3 linked regions of the Ovis aries genome follow. The protein of the gene in region 1 binds, or shares a complex with, the protein of each later gene. Links are inferred from orthologs where the notes say so. Each region holds a gene or a part of one and is shown in the gene's direction. Other genes may lie near its edges.

The links.
Region 2: the proteins of LCK (region 1) and CD4 are in contact, whole or in part, in an NMR structure (PDB 1Q68), measured with the Homo sapiens proteins. The link is inferred for Ovis aries from reciprocal best matches to the Homo sapiens genes LCK and CD4. Residues at the interface, in NP_001036236.1 of Homo sapiens: Glu15, Ile17, Val19, Cys20, Asn22, Cys23, Tyr25, Pro26, Ile27, Val28; in NP_000607.1 of Homo sapiens: Ala429, Arg431, Ile435, Leu438, Leu439, Lys443, Thr444, Cys445, Gln446, Cys447.
Region 3: the proteins of LCK (region 1) and CD8A are in contact, whole or in part, in an NMR structure (PDB 1Q69), measured with the Homo sapiens proteins. The link is inferred for Ovis aries from reciprocal best matches to the Homo sapiens genes LCK and CD8A. Residues at the interface, in NP_001036236.1 of Homo sapiens: Cys20, Asn22, Cys23, Tyr25, Pro26, Ile27, Val28; in NP_001139345.1 of Homo sapiens: Arg212, Arg213, Val214, Cys215, Lys216, Cys217.

What each region holds. Positions count from the first base shown.
Region 1 is NC_056055.1:235,285,923-235,290,002, reverse strand, and holds the start of LCK (tyrosine-protein kinase Lck), read left to right. Parts: upstream 1-1,145; 5' UTR 1,146-1,259; intron 1,260-4,080. UniProt on the Homo sapiens protein: Non-receptor tyrosine-protein kinase that plays an essential role in the selection and maturation of developing T-cells in the thymus and in the function of mature T-cells. Plays a key role in T-cell antigen receptor (TCR)-linked signal transduction pathways.
Region 2 is NC_056056.1:209,484,841-209,489,003, reverse strand, and holds the start of CD4 (T-cell surface glycoprotein CD4 precursor), read left to right. Parts: upstream 1-1,264; coding exon 1,265-1,313; intron 1,314-1,436; coding exon 1,437-1,601; intron 1,602-4,163. UniProt on the Homo sapiens protein: Integral membrane glycoprotein that plays an essential role in the immune response and serves multiple functions in responses against both external and internal offenses.
Region 3 is NC_056056.1:58,635,825-58,640,200, reverse strand, and holds the start of CD8A (T-cell surface glycoprotein CD8 alpha chain), read left to right. Parts: upstream 1-1,456; 5' UTR 1,457-1,528; coding exon 1,529-1,580; intron 1,581-1,690; coding exon 1,691-2,056; intron 2,057-2,641; coding exon 2,642-2,758; intron 2,759-2,961; coding exon 2,962-3,072; intron 3,073-4,376. UniProt on the Homo sapiens protein: Integral membrane glycoprotein that plays an essential role in the immune response and serves multiple functions in responses against both external and internal offenses. In T-cells, functions primarily as a coreceptor for MHC class I molecule:peptide complex.

The sequences.
Region 1 (4,080 bases):
TCTCCGCAGCAGCTGAAGGTGCATACAGCATCGGCTTCCACCTCACAAACCCCAACAATGCTCTGTGGGCTTCCCCTCCCCCAGCCTGCTACCTCAGTGCAGCCTCAGGCGGTGGCAACAGGCTTCTGTCTTCCGATGGGTGCGGCCAAGGCCCAGCTCTTGGGCCCGAGAGAGGCCACCTAGAGTTCCTCGTAACACTGGTGACCTGGCCCTCAGCCTCTGACGTACGCCACCCTCAGCCTGGCTCCTGGGGAAAGGGAGATTGTTGGCCTGCTTCGTGCTTGTGACAGGGTCCCTTCCTCCTGCCTGTAGCAGAAAGTGCTGCCAGTCTGTTGCCTGCACCGGGGGGCCTGGGCAGGAGTGTTTGTTCTGTCTCCCACCTGTTGCAGGAGGTGGTGTCAGGCCTTCGCCTCTGACAGAGGCTGTGGCCTTGTCTCTACCTGGGTTAGAAGGGTTGCCCTACTCTCCAACCATAATTAGGGGGTGTTGTCCTGCCCTCTGCCCACAAAAGAGGCTGCTCCCTTAAAGACACCGGGTTGTCCTGTCTGCTTCCTTGAACAGCCTGTTGTCCAGCAGACTGTCTGTAGGAGGGGTCTTAGCCTCCCCTCTGCAAATAATAAAGCTCTTCCCCATGCCCTGAGATGGCATGGCTGTGGTTCCATTGTGTGGCTAGCAGCTGTGTGCGCCTGGTATCTATCTATCATCGTATCTGCCCTCCAGTGATTTTACAGGGATGTTGTTCCCCCTGACTCTGAGGGGATGTTACTTTTGCCCTCTGACTGTAGTGCAAGGATCACCTGGCTCTCAGACTGATAGCCGTGCAGCTTGCCCTTCACTGAAAGCTGAGTGGGTGTCTCCTTGCCTCCTGCTCACTGGGGCTTCAAGGCGGCCCTTGAATCTCTGGTCCAGGTGCTCCCTGGGGGGGGGGGCGGAGGAAGTTCCATCCAATATTCTCCTCTACCTCCGGGTGCCACCTTCGGGGTGAATGGGGCCTGGACTGGGGTGAAAGGACCCTAGAGGGCTGAGAGGCAGGGGGCGATGGCAGCAGGAAGCTTGGGGTGCTGGAGGCTTGCGGTTGGGCTGCTGGGGCCCGGTTGGCTGCGGAGCCCTCAGGAGGAGGCAGGAAGTCAGGGTGGGACGTGGGCGCGGGGAGACAGCCAGTGGCTACGACGGTGAGGGGAGCCGAAGCTGTGTCTGGGCAGCCGGGCTGGGCCAGGAAGACCATGTGAATGGGGCCAGGGGGCTCCTGGGCTGGGCAGGTAAGGAGTACCCGGAACAGGGGCCTAAGGGCTGGGAGTGGGACCTTCGAGCAGAAGGCTGCAGCTGGGCCTAGGGTCAGGCTCCCCTGGGATGCGCAGCCTATCAGGCTGGGGTCAGAAACACCTGGAGGTCAGGTGGGAGGCAGGCTGAACAGCCAGATCGCCTCTTTCCTGTGTAGCTGTGCCTCCACCACACTGCCTGCCATCAGAGCCCACCTCACTGGGAGCCTTTTCCTTGGGGATCTCTTAAGTACTGAAAAGGCCTTCAGAAATCCCTGCATCCAGCCCCTCATCCCATGATGGATAAGCCTCCTAAGCCCCAGACTGGGCAAAATGCTCCCTCCCCATAGTCCGTCAGCAACGCAGAGGCAGAGAGGGTGATGGCCCTGGGAGAGGTGATGGCCTAGGATGTGATTCCCCACTGGAGCAAGGTGATAGACAGGCTTGAGTCAAGGGTCCCAAGAGTCCTTCCACTTGCTGGTGTAGACCCCAGTGACAAGACTCTCTTGAGAGAGCGAGGGGAATCACCCAGAGCATCCGGACAGACACGTGAGGAGTGACTTTAGCCTCGACCCACACTGCTTGAGAGAAGGAGGGGGTCTTCCTTTGGGAATGGATGGGCATGCAAGGGAATATTTATCATCTGGGATGAGGACTGGGGCGGAAGTATCTGACAGGACTCCGGGATGTTGGGGGGTGAGAGGAGGATGGGAGAAGGGAAGAGGAAGGGCTATTTTTATCCTGGACAAGGGTGCTGTTGGCCCTGGGCAAGGACCATCTGGATTTCCATCTGGAAAATTGCCACGCCTGCCCCTGCCAGGATGTCCTTTCCTCTTCCCTTTGCTCCTTCCTGCCCCCTACCCCTGCCCCTGCCACTGCCTGATTAGGGCCAGTGGGTCCTGCTGGTTCCTGCTTCAGACCCCAGGAAGGTGGAGGCCCAGGGAGGCAGAATCAGCTCCTTGTCCATCCCCTCAATTTTAGCTCTCAGCCTGTAGTTTATGGGGGTAAATCCCTACCTGAGCCACACTTTCCAGGTTTCCCCTGCCTCCCCCACCGCCACTGGAGTTTTTCTTGAAACAGTTTCCACTGTCTCAGCCATGTCGCAGTCTTTCTTTCATCCCCAGCTCCAAGGCCTGCAACCTCTTGTGGGGTCTGGAAAACAAGCTGGGTCTTCCCTAGACTCATCCAGACCCTGGACTGGCATCAGCCGTCCCCCACCCTAGCCTGTGCTGAAGGATGATTCAGGGTCCCTCGCCCTCAAAGCTCTGGGACAGAGGCGCTTCTCAAAGGGAAAAAGGGCCAAGTGATGGAGCAAGAGAATGAGCGGAAGCTCCAGAAGTCGAGAGGAGGCCTCGCTTGGGTGATCGGAAGGCTTCCTGGAAGAGTCAGGCGGCTATGAGAACAAAGGCCCATTTTGCAGAGTACCTAGGATATGCAGCTAGGGTCACTGTCTCTGGGTTGTTCCTTGGATCCTAGGAGGGCAGAAACCTCAGGGCAAGACCAAACACAAGAGAGCCAGAGGGTTTGGTGTAGCGCAAAGGACATGTATTTCACAGTCAGGCTGACCCAGGCACAATTCTGGTTCTGCCATTTCCTTGAACAAATGACTTCACCTCTTCAAACTCCAGTTGCTTTATTGGTAAAGAGGCAATAATAAATCCCTCCTTACAGAGTGCTGGTGGGAAATCAAAGAGAAAATGGCTGTGATGTGCTGTGGGTAGTAACTGGCATGCCGAAGGTGCTTAACAGAGGTTAGGCAACCACTTCTCCTGCAAATGGTGCACCCAAGGGTGTGTGTGCGGTGGGGGTGTTGGGGGGTGCTGTCCGTACCCGGAATTACTCCTACTCAGCACCTTGGCAGGCCAGTGGGCAGCCCATTCCTTCACACTTGTGGTGTAGCTTTGCAAATGAGCTTGTTTCCTGTGTGTTCTAGTGGGTGTGAGAATTTTAGGCTGGGCCACAGGGTCTATCTTGGAGGAGGGTCCCACACATACCTTCCTACAGACACATAGATACGCACACACACACACACACACACACACACACACACACACACACACACACACATGATCCTTCCCTTCCTAGCCCAAATACCATTCATATCATCACTGGAAAATGTAGGTGTGCATGGATGTTCAGAGGCAGAGGCAGGGACCACATATATATCACACATCAGCTCAGTTCAGTTCAGTTCAGTCACTCAGTTGTATACAACTCAGCAACCCCATGGACTGCAACACACCAGGCCTCCCTGTCCATCACTAACTCCAGGAGCTTGCTCAAACTCATGTCCATTGAGCTGGTGATGCCATCCAACCATTTCATCCTCTGTCACCACCTTCTCCTCCCACCTTCAATCATTCCCAGCATCAGGGTCTTTTCCAATGACTCAGTTCTTCGCATCAGGTGGCCAAAGTATTGGAGTTTCAGCTTCAACATCAGTCCTTCCAATGAACACTCAAGACTAATTTCCTTTAGAATGGACTGGTTGGATCTCCTTACAGTCCAAGGGACTCTCAAGAGTCTTCTCCAACACCACAGTGGGATCCTATAAATCCATGCACACACCCACAGACTGATGGCTTCAAGGCCAAGCCCAATTCAGTGAAAGCAATGCTGAGGGGAGCTGAGTTTGTGGGTGGGATGGAGGCAAGTGGGGCCTCCATCTGGGTGTTCGTTGGAAGGTATCTGAGCTAGATTTCCAACACTTGGTCTAAAGAATGTTAGTCCCACGAGGCGCCCCGAAAGGAAACACTTCTGGGTCCAAATCAACACTGCCTCAGCTATGAAGTGTCCATGTGAAATTTACCATCAGTGTTGG
Region 2 (4,163 bases), on another chromosome or scaffold:
TGTCTCGGGGTTGTCAGACTTGAGTGTGCAGCAGTCCCCCAGAGGGCTGTGAACACAGACGGCTGCACCCAACCCCAGCTCCCGATCCTGGAGGTCTAGGGTGGGCCCCAGAGGTTGCCTGTCTCACAAGTTCTCGGGTGATCACACATGGGGAATCACTGCTCCAACCCAGTGGCGCCCATTCCTCCAGGTCCATGCAGAGCCCTTCTGCGACCCTCTCCCCCACGGCCCTGTCTGTCTTCCAAGCCCACAGAAACTCCGGAGTATTGCCTTTTTGCTTGTCCCACTCAGAGGCCTTCTAGGGAATCACCCTCTGCCCTTTCCCTGACTGCATCCCTCATACTGAATCAGACCCCAGGTCCTGGGGGTTTTCTTTCAGAGCTCCTCCCTTAAGTCTGTCTCTCTGAGTTCAGGCCTCATCTTTTCCCACCAGGATTCTTGCAATCCTGCCTCCCATGCTTGACCTCCTCCAGGTCCTCTTCTGCTCAGCAGCTGGAGGGATCCATCCTGTAAGTCTACTCCTGTCCTCTAAGTAAAGCTCCCTCGAGCGCCCAGGGTCACAGCATTGCGGGACCTTCATGACCTGGCCTGACTCCCTAGTCTCAGTTCCTACTAATTTGCCACCTTCTCTGAGAATTCTTTTCTTCTTTTTTAAAAACTTTACTTCATACCAAAAGCTGTTCACTCATTTTATTTTGTAATTCATTGATTGATTAATTAAGTTTTGGTTGTGCTGGGTCTTCGTTGCTGGGCACAGACTTTCTCTAGTTGCAACGAGTGGGGGCTACTCTCTAGCTCCGGTGTGAGGGCTTCTCATTCTGGTGGCTTCTCTTGTTGTGGAGTGCAGGCTGTAGGACACGTGGTCTTCAGTAGCCATAGCATGTGGGCTCAGTGGTTGCAGCTCCCAGGCTCAATAACTGTGGCACAGGGCTTAGTTGCTCCCTGGCATGTGGAATCTTCCTAGACCAAGGATTGAACCCATGTTCCTTGCCTTGGCAGGCGGATTTTTAACCATTGGACCATGAGGGAAGTCTTTTGAGAATCCTTTTCTGATTCCCCCTGGCAAAGAACCCACCCCTGGCCCAGGCACAGCATGCGTGGCATGTAACCCATGGGTGTCTTCTTCAGAGGCCTGCACGTCTAGGTTCCCGCCTGGCTGTCTAGGTCATGAAGGGGACCCAGCCAGATGAACGCCTGCTAACTGCTGACTGGTGTCTCCCCCAGGCCGAAGGCTCAGGTCCTTGCCTGCCTCAGCAAAGCCACAATGGGCCCGGGGACCTCTCTTAGGCACCTGTTCTTGGTGCTGCAACTGGGTGAGTGCTCAGACTTGGGGTCTGGGTGCAGGTGGCTTGGGAGGAGGGGCTGGTTGGGGAATGCCAGGTAGGGGATGGGGCAACCACAGCCTCAAGGCCTGACTCCCCTGTTTTTCCACCTAGTGATGCTCCCGGCTGGCACTCAGGGAAAAGCAGTGGTGCTGGGTAAGGCAGGAGGCCAGGCAGAGCTGCCCTGCCAGGCTTCCCAGAAGAAGAACATAGTCTTCAGCTGGAAAGATTCTTCCCAGTCCAAGATTCTGGGGAGTCATAACTCCTTCTTGCACAAAGGTAGGTGGACCCTGCTCCCTGTTTAGAGAAGAGAGCCCTGGGGAATGAACACCCCGGTGGCAGGGCCCAGCTCCTAGTAAACTCTGGGGTTCTGGAGGGTTCTGCCATCAGCCAGAGTCTCAGGGACTCCCCAAGTCCGGAACCACCCTTTGCCAGCTACTGGCGGGCTGGGGAATGGCTTCTGGTGGTCTACTATAATTTCATTATTTTAATATTGATGACCTTATTTTAATGGATAGTAGAAAAATAGTTATCATACGAAACCCATGATTTCATGAATATTGTTGTTACAGACCAATGATGATACTTTGTTTACTTCCATTAAGAGCAACAGAATGTTTCTCCCTAGCTTTTTCAAAAATAATGTATTTATTTTTGAATGTCCTGGGCCTTCACTGCCACTTGGGCTTTTCTCTAGTTGTGGCGAGCGGGGGCTACTCTCTAGTTCATGCGTGTGGACTTCTCATCTCAGAGGCTTCTCTTGCTGCGAAGCGCAGTCTCTAGGCAAGGGCTTCGTGTGTGGCATGTGGGCTCCTGAGCTCAGGCTCAGCAGTTGTGGCACACGGGCTTAGCTGCTTCTCGGCATGTGGGATCTTTCCCCACCAGGAATTGAGCACATGTCCCTTGCGCTGGCAGGCAGATTCTTATCCACTGCGCCGTCAGGGAAGTCTTTTTCTAGCTTCCAAAGCGGAAAGAATTAAGATTTCAAAACTTCTTAGGAACATTAATTTGCAACCTTATTTTTTCACGTAAATTTTACCCTCATGCTCCTGTTTAAGTAACTCTTCTTTCTTCTGGGTATGGCTTCTAATATTCAATACATTATTGAATGGGAGAAAGTCATAGAGTCAAAAGTAGAAAAATGCCACCGGTGTGAAATGTATTTATTCTTTGTAAGTTTATTTGATTTATTATTGTTTTCATTTCACTGCTTATTTTTTTTAACATTTTCTCTTAATTCAAATGTATATAGAAGTTGAATAAATATATAATGAACCTCTGTGTATCTCTCTCAGGTTTAACAATGATCAATTCATGACCAATGTTGGTTCATATAACTGAATCACTTTGCTGTACACCTGAAACATTGTAAATCAACTATATTTTGATTTAAAAACACATCTATTATATCATCATCAATGCTTTAAAATTAATTCCTTTATGACAAAAATATCCAGTGTTCAAATTTTCCCAAATGCCTCATAATATTATTTTTCCATCTGGTCTATTTGAATCAGAATTCAAATAAAAATTCATGGATGGTATTTTCTTGATATGACCTTTGAATCTCTTTGAATTTATACATTTACTCTCCTTTTTCTGCCCCCTATTGCAACTGATATTTGAAGAAACCAGGCAATTGCCCTATAAGTTTTACATTGTGGTAGCATTCAACATGTTCCTCTGTCCCTTAAATCTCCTAGAAATGGTGATTAGATCTAGAGACATGATCAAGTTTATGTTCATTTTTTCTCTCAGTGACTTATTTAATAGCTGTACTCCATATTACAAGGCATTATAGCCCCATCTTTTTTTAAAATTGAACTATAGCCTCACTTGCGGTGTTGTGTTAGTTGCTGGTGTATAGCAAAGAGATTCAGTTATATCTATGCACTATTCCTCCCCCTTTGGCAACCATAAGTTTGTTTTCTTTGTCTGTGAATCTGTTTCTGTTTTGTAAATAGGTTTATTTGTATCGTATTTTAGATTTCACATATGTGTGATATATGATCGTTGTCTCTCTCTTTCTGACTTACTTTACTTAGTATGACAATCTCTAAGTCCATCCATGTTGCTGCAAATAGCATTATTTCATTCTTTCTTATGGTTGAGTAATATTCCATTATATATACCTTCTCTATCCATTCCTCTGTTGATGGACATTTAGGTTGCTTCCATGTGTTGGCCATTGCAAATAGTGCTGCTATGGACACTGAGGTGCACACGTTTGATCTTTTGACAAGATCGTTTTATAGATGGTGTTTTATATTACCAATTTCATCACATTAGGAGGCATGCAATATTTATTGCTTCTTTTGGACTATTAATACAAAACAATCAGCGGCTCAAGTTTAGTTTATTTATTTGTGCTTCCTAGGTGGCGTTAGTGGTAAAGAATCCACCTGCTAATGCAGGAGACTTGCAGGAGACTTGGGTTCGATTCTTGGGTTGGGAAGACCCCCGAAGTAAGAAAGGCCAACCCACTCCAGTATTCTTGCCTACAGAATCCCATGAACAGAGGAGCCTGGCGGGTTACAGTCTATGGGGTTACAAAGGATTGGACACAACTGAGCAACTAAGTCATTAAGAGATATTAATAAATTGAATTATTAAGAAGCGTTGGCAAGAATACACAGAAGAACTATACAAAAAAGATCTTAATGACCCAGGTCACCACGGTAGTGTAACCACTCACCTAGAGCCAGACATCCTGGAGTGTGAAGTTAAGTGTACCTTAGGAAGCATCACTATGAACAAAGCTAGTGAAGGTGTTGGAATTCCAGCTGAGCTATTTCAAATCCTAAAAGATGATGCTGTGAAAGTGCTGCACTCGATATGCCA
Region 3 (4,376 bases), on another chromosome or scaffold:
AAGTGGAGCTGATGTAATAATAATAATAAAGTGCACAATAAATAAAATGTGCTTGAATCATCACCAAACCATCCCCTGCCTCCAGTCGGTGGAAAAGTTGTCTTCCACTAAACTGGTCCCTGATGTCAAAAAGTTTGGGCATCGCTGCACTCACTATGGGATGCAAAGTGGGAAGAAATGAGAGAGGGGACCCACTATGGGGTGGAAGGTTTCAGGACAGCAGCAGACAAAAAAGGAAGGGGCCAAGTGTGTATCAGGTTCAGACAGGAAGAAACCCAGGCTGACACATGTGCCCGCCAAGCACCCAGAGCCAGAAGAATGAGATTCAGATACCAAGGCTTGGGAGCTGGCCAGGGGCTGAAACAGAAGTGCATTCCAGCATGGGGAGCGCACAGTTCAGATCATCAGTGGCGCTAGCGGTAAAGAATCTGCCTGCCAGCACAGGAGACACTAGAGACACGGGTTTGATCCCTGGCTTGGGAAGATTCCCCTGCAGGAGGAAATGGCAACCCCACTGGCAGTATTCTTGCCTGAAAATGCCACGGACAGAGGAGCCTGGCAGGCTACAGTCCATGGGGTCGCAGAGAGTCAGACATGACTGAGCGCACCATAAGATTACCCTATGGGCATGTAGTGGGGGTGAATAGGAAAGACCAGGACAGGGGCCTGGGAAGGAGGCTGGGCAGAACCAGCACTCAGGCTCCAAGCCAAGGCAGGGCTGAGCTTCCACGCAGAGCTTCCACTCAGACCTGCACCTCACCAGGAGGCTTCAAGAGTGACACTATCACATTCCCTTTTGGAGAATACTGTTCACAGCAGTGTGGCTGGGGGACTGGCCGGAACAGGAGCTACTGTGGAGGCTGCTGCAGTGGCCTCGAAGGAATGAGGCTGTGGTGGCCAGGTTTAACTACTGAGGAAAGAGGATGAGAAGCAGAAAATCACAAACCTCACACACTGCTTGACCGGCTGACTGGTGGAAGTCTCCTCAATGGAAGGAAGAAGGTTTTTTCCTCTGTGGGCACCCGGACGCCCCTGTCCGAGTCCCGCAGATGTGGGCCAGTCACTAACTCCTCTTAGCCTCAGCCCTCAGGGCCCACTTCCCCGGGACCTAAAGCCCCAAGTTGTCAGTGCCAGGGCCACTCTGAATGAGGTCAGAGGAAGTGGACATTTCTCTCTCCTTCCTGCTCGCTCACCCTCCCTTCTAGAAATCTCTTATCTGCCTCCGTCACACCCACAAGCTAGCCCTTCCAAGGGCCACGTCCAACCATCCTTGTCCTTGTTCTCCACCTGGCCAGATTGCCTCGACGGCCCCCATTCACGGACCCCCACACCCCCACCCCTCTCTGGGCTGGAGGGTGACAACCGCGAAAAGGAGGGCGACTCTCTTCTCCGCGGGGCTTCAAGTGACATCACATCCTCTGAATTCGAAATCGGGCTCGGAGGCCGGTCGAAGGGCGAAACTTCGCCCTCCCGTCGGTGATCCACCGGCTGCTGCGCGCCTCGGAGTTTCCGCGGCAGGGAGCGCGCCATGGCCTCACTCTTGACCTCCCTGATCCTGCCGCTGGCCCTGCAGCTGCTCGGTGAGCTGGCGACCCCTGGGGGAGGCGGGGGCGGGGCTGGCATGGGACTGGGGGAGGTGGGGGAGTCGGCGCCGGGCTCCCAGCTCAGTCTCGCTACCCGTGTCCTGCAGATGCCCCCAAGGTCCTAGGGTCGCTCTCGTTCCGGATGTCGCCGACGCAGAAGGAGACCAGACTGGGCGAGACGGTGGAGCTGCAATGCGAGGTGGTGCAGTCCGGCATGGCGTCAGGGTGCTCCTGGCTCCGCCAGATACCCGGGGACGACCCCAGACCCACCTTCCTAATGTATCTCTCGTCCCAACGGGTCAAGCTAGCCCAGGGACTGGACCCCGACCACATTTCCGGCGCCAGGGTCACCGGCTCCAAATTCCAGCTCACCCTGAGAAACTTCCGCCAGGAGGACCAAGGCTACTATTTTTGCTCAGTCTTGAGCAACTCGGTCCTGTACTTCAGTAACTTCGTGCCTGTCTTCTTGCCAGGTTCGGCGCCCCGGGTCGGCTTTGGGGTTCGCGTCTGAGTCCGTTTTTCACAGGGACACCGCTACTTTCGACTCTCTTGGGGTTCGAGCCTCTGGGGGCTACTTATATACTGTTCCCAATTCACAGAGGAGAAAACTGAGGCTAGGGTGCGACTGGGTAGTAATTCAAGGTGACTTTTTAGGTCTGGTTGATCTGGGCTCGAGTTCCGAGCTAGTATGATCCTGGGCAAGTTACTGCACTTCAGTTATCTGAGCTTCCCACTGCTGGTCAGGAGAAGGCCGGTGTCCCACCGTCCCACCCCTGCCTCCTCCAAGCCCTCGACGTTTCTGGTGGGGCCCTGGAGAGAGGCTGGGCGGAGGGGCACGGGCCTCTGTGTTCATGTCCAAGGCACCCAGTGTACTCAGACGACCAGGTGGTCTTTCAGCATCTCCCCGCGCTGAGCGCCGAGCTCCGCTGAGCCTCTACGGCTCCTCCAGTGGCTAATCCGGAGGGAGTGCCCCCTTAGCAAAGGCTGGCGGAGAGGTGGGAAGGGTTCGCGGGCACAGCTCCAGCGCGGCCCCTAACCACTCTCCGTTGTTCCCGCAGCGAAGCCCACCACCACGCCGGCGATGCGGCCATCCACGCGCGCGCCCACCATCGCGCCGCAGACTAGGTCTGTCTCTCCGGGCTCAGAGGTGTGCCGGCCCTCGGCGGGCAGCACAGGTGAGGCGGGCGCGGCAAAGGCCCTCGCCGCCGGGGCCACGCTGATCTTCCTAGCAGCCCAAGCGGTGGGGAAACGAAAGCCGGAACGGGAAAAGGGACGTGCCCGCACCAACGGGGTGGGATAGGGTTGGTGGGGGGGTCCCCAGGGTGGGGTGGGGGATCCCGGGCCCTCTCCTAAATGTCCGCGTCTTCTGTGTCGTCAGTGGACAAGGGCGGGCTGGACTTCGCCTGCGATATCTACATCTGGGCTCCCCTGGCCGGGACCTGCGCCGTCCTTCTCCTCTCATTGGTCGTCACATGCATCTGCTACCGCCGTAAGTCCTGGGGAATCGCGCGGGAAGACGCAGCCCGATTTTTGCAGCGCTTTGCTTTAGGCAGCCCTTGAGGGCAGTTCAGTTAGTTGGGTTCGGATTTCTGGAACTTTGAGCTGCACCGCAGGGCCAGGCACTGCCTATGTCTTTCCTGGAGAGAGAACGCAGGGAAAACCCCTTCTCTTTCCACATCCCGGGAAGTTTTTAGGAAGGCATAGCCCCATCCCCAGAGCGGCAGCGGCAGGGGTGGGGTGTTCCACCCGCAAAGCCCGCAGGTCTGGGCTTATTACAAACGCCTAGGATGGGGAAGGAAATCGCAACCCACTCCAGTGTTCTTGCCTGGAGAATCCCAGGAGCTGCCGTCTGTGGAGTCGCACAGAGTTGGACACGACTGAAGCCACTTAGCAGCAGCAGCAGCAGCAGGATGGGGATGGGAGCAGGGCGGGGCCCGGCTGTGGCCCTGGCACCAGAGCCCAGGAAGCCCGGGTCAAAATCACTACAGGCAGTGGTTTATCCTTGGCCCCCTCCTTGTGAGCCCCCACCCATTTGGATCCTACTGCAGGTGGCCGTACTAACCCACGTTCACCCACGTCTGTATTTGCAATGCTTTTTAAAGTGATGTGAAGAAGGGTGGGAAAGAAGACCTCACCTCAGTTCTCAAGAGTTAAATGCTACTTATTGCATAGCACTATATTCAATATCTTGTAATTATCTATAAAGGAAAAGAATCTGAAATATTTATTTACATATACATGTATATATACATTTACATATATATGTATATGTGTTATTCCATCAGTCACATCCGACTCTTTGGGACCCCATGGACTGTAGCCCACCAGGCTCCTCTGTCCATGGAATTTCCTAGGCAAGAATACTAGAGTGGGTTGTCATTTCCCCCTCTAGCGGATCTTCCTGACCCAGGAATCAAACCTGGATCTCCTGCATTGCAAGCAGATTCTTTATCTGAGCCACCAGGGAAGCCCCATATATTTACATATATATATATTTACATGTATAAAAACTGAATCACTTTACTATACATCTGAATCTAACACAATATTGTAAATCAACTATACTTTAATTTTTAACTTTTAATAATAATTATTAAAACTATAAAATGTAAATATGCTTTATAGCTTGTGTTTTAGTAAATTAATCTTCTTTTCAGTGTCAGTCATTATTATGCACTGTCATTTTACAAGTTTACTTTATTATGATGTATTTTTTCCAAATATTTATTTATTTGGCTGCGCTGGGTTTTAGTTGCAGCACATGGGATCTTTTATTAATAGTTTTAGCATGTA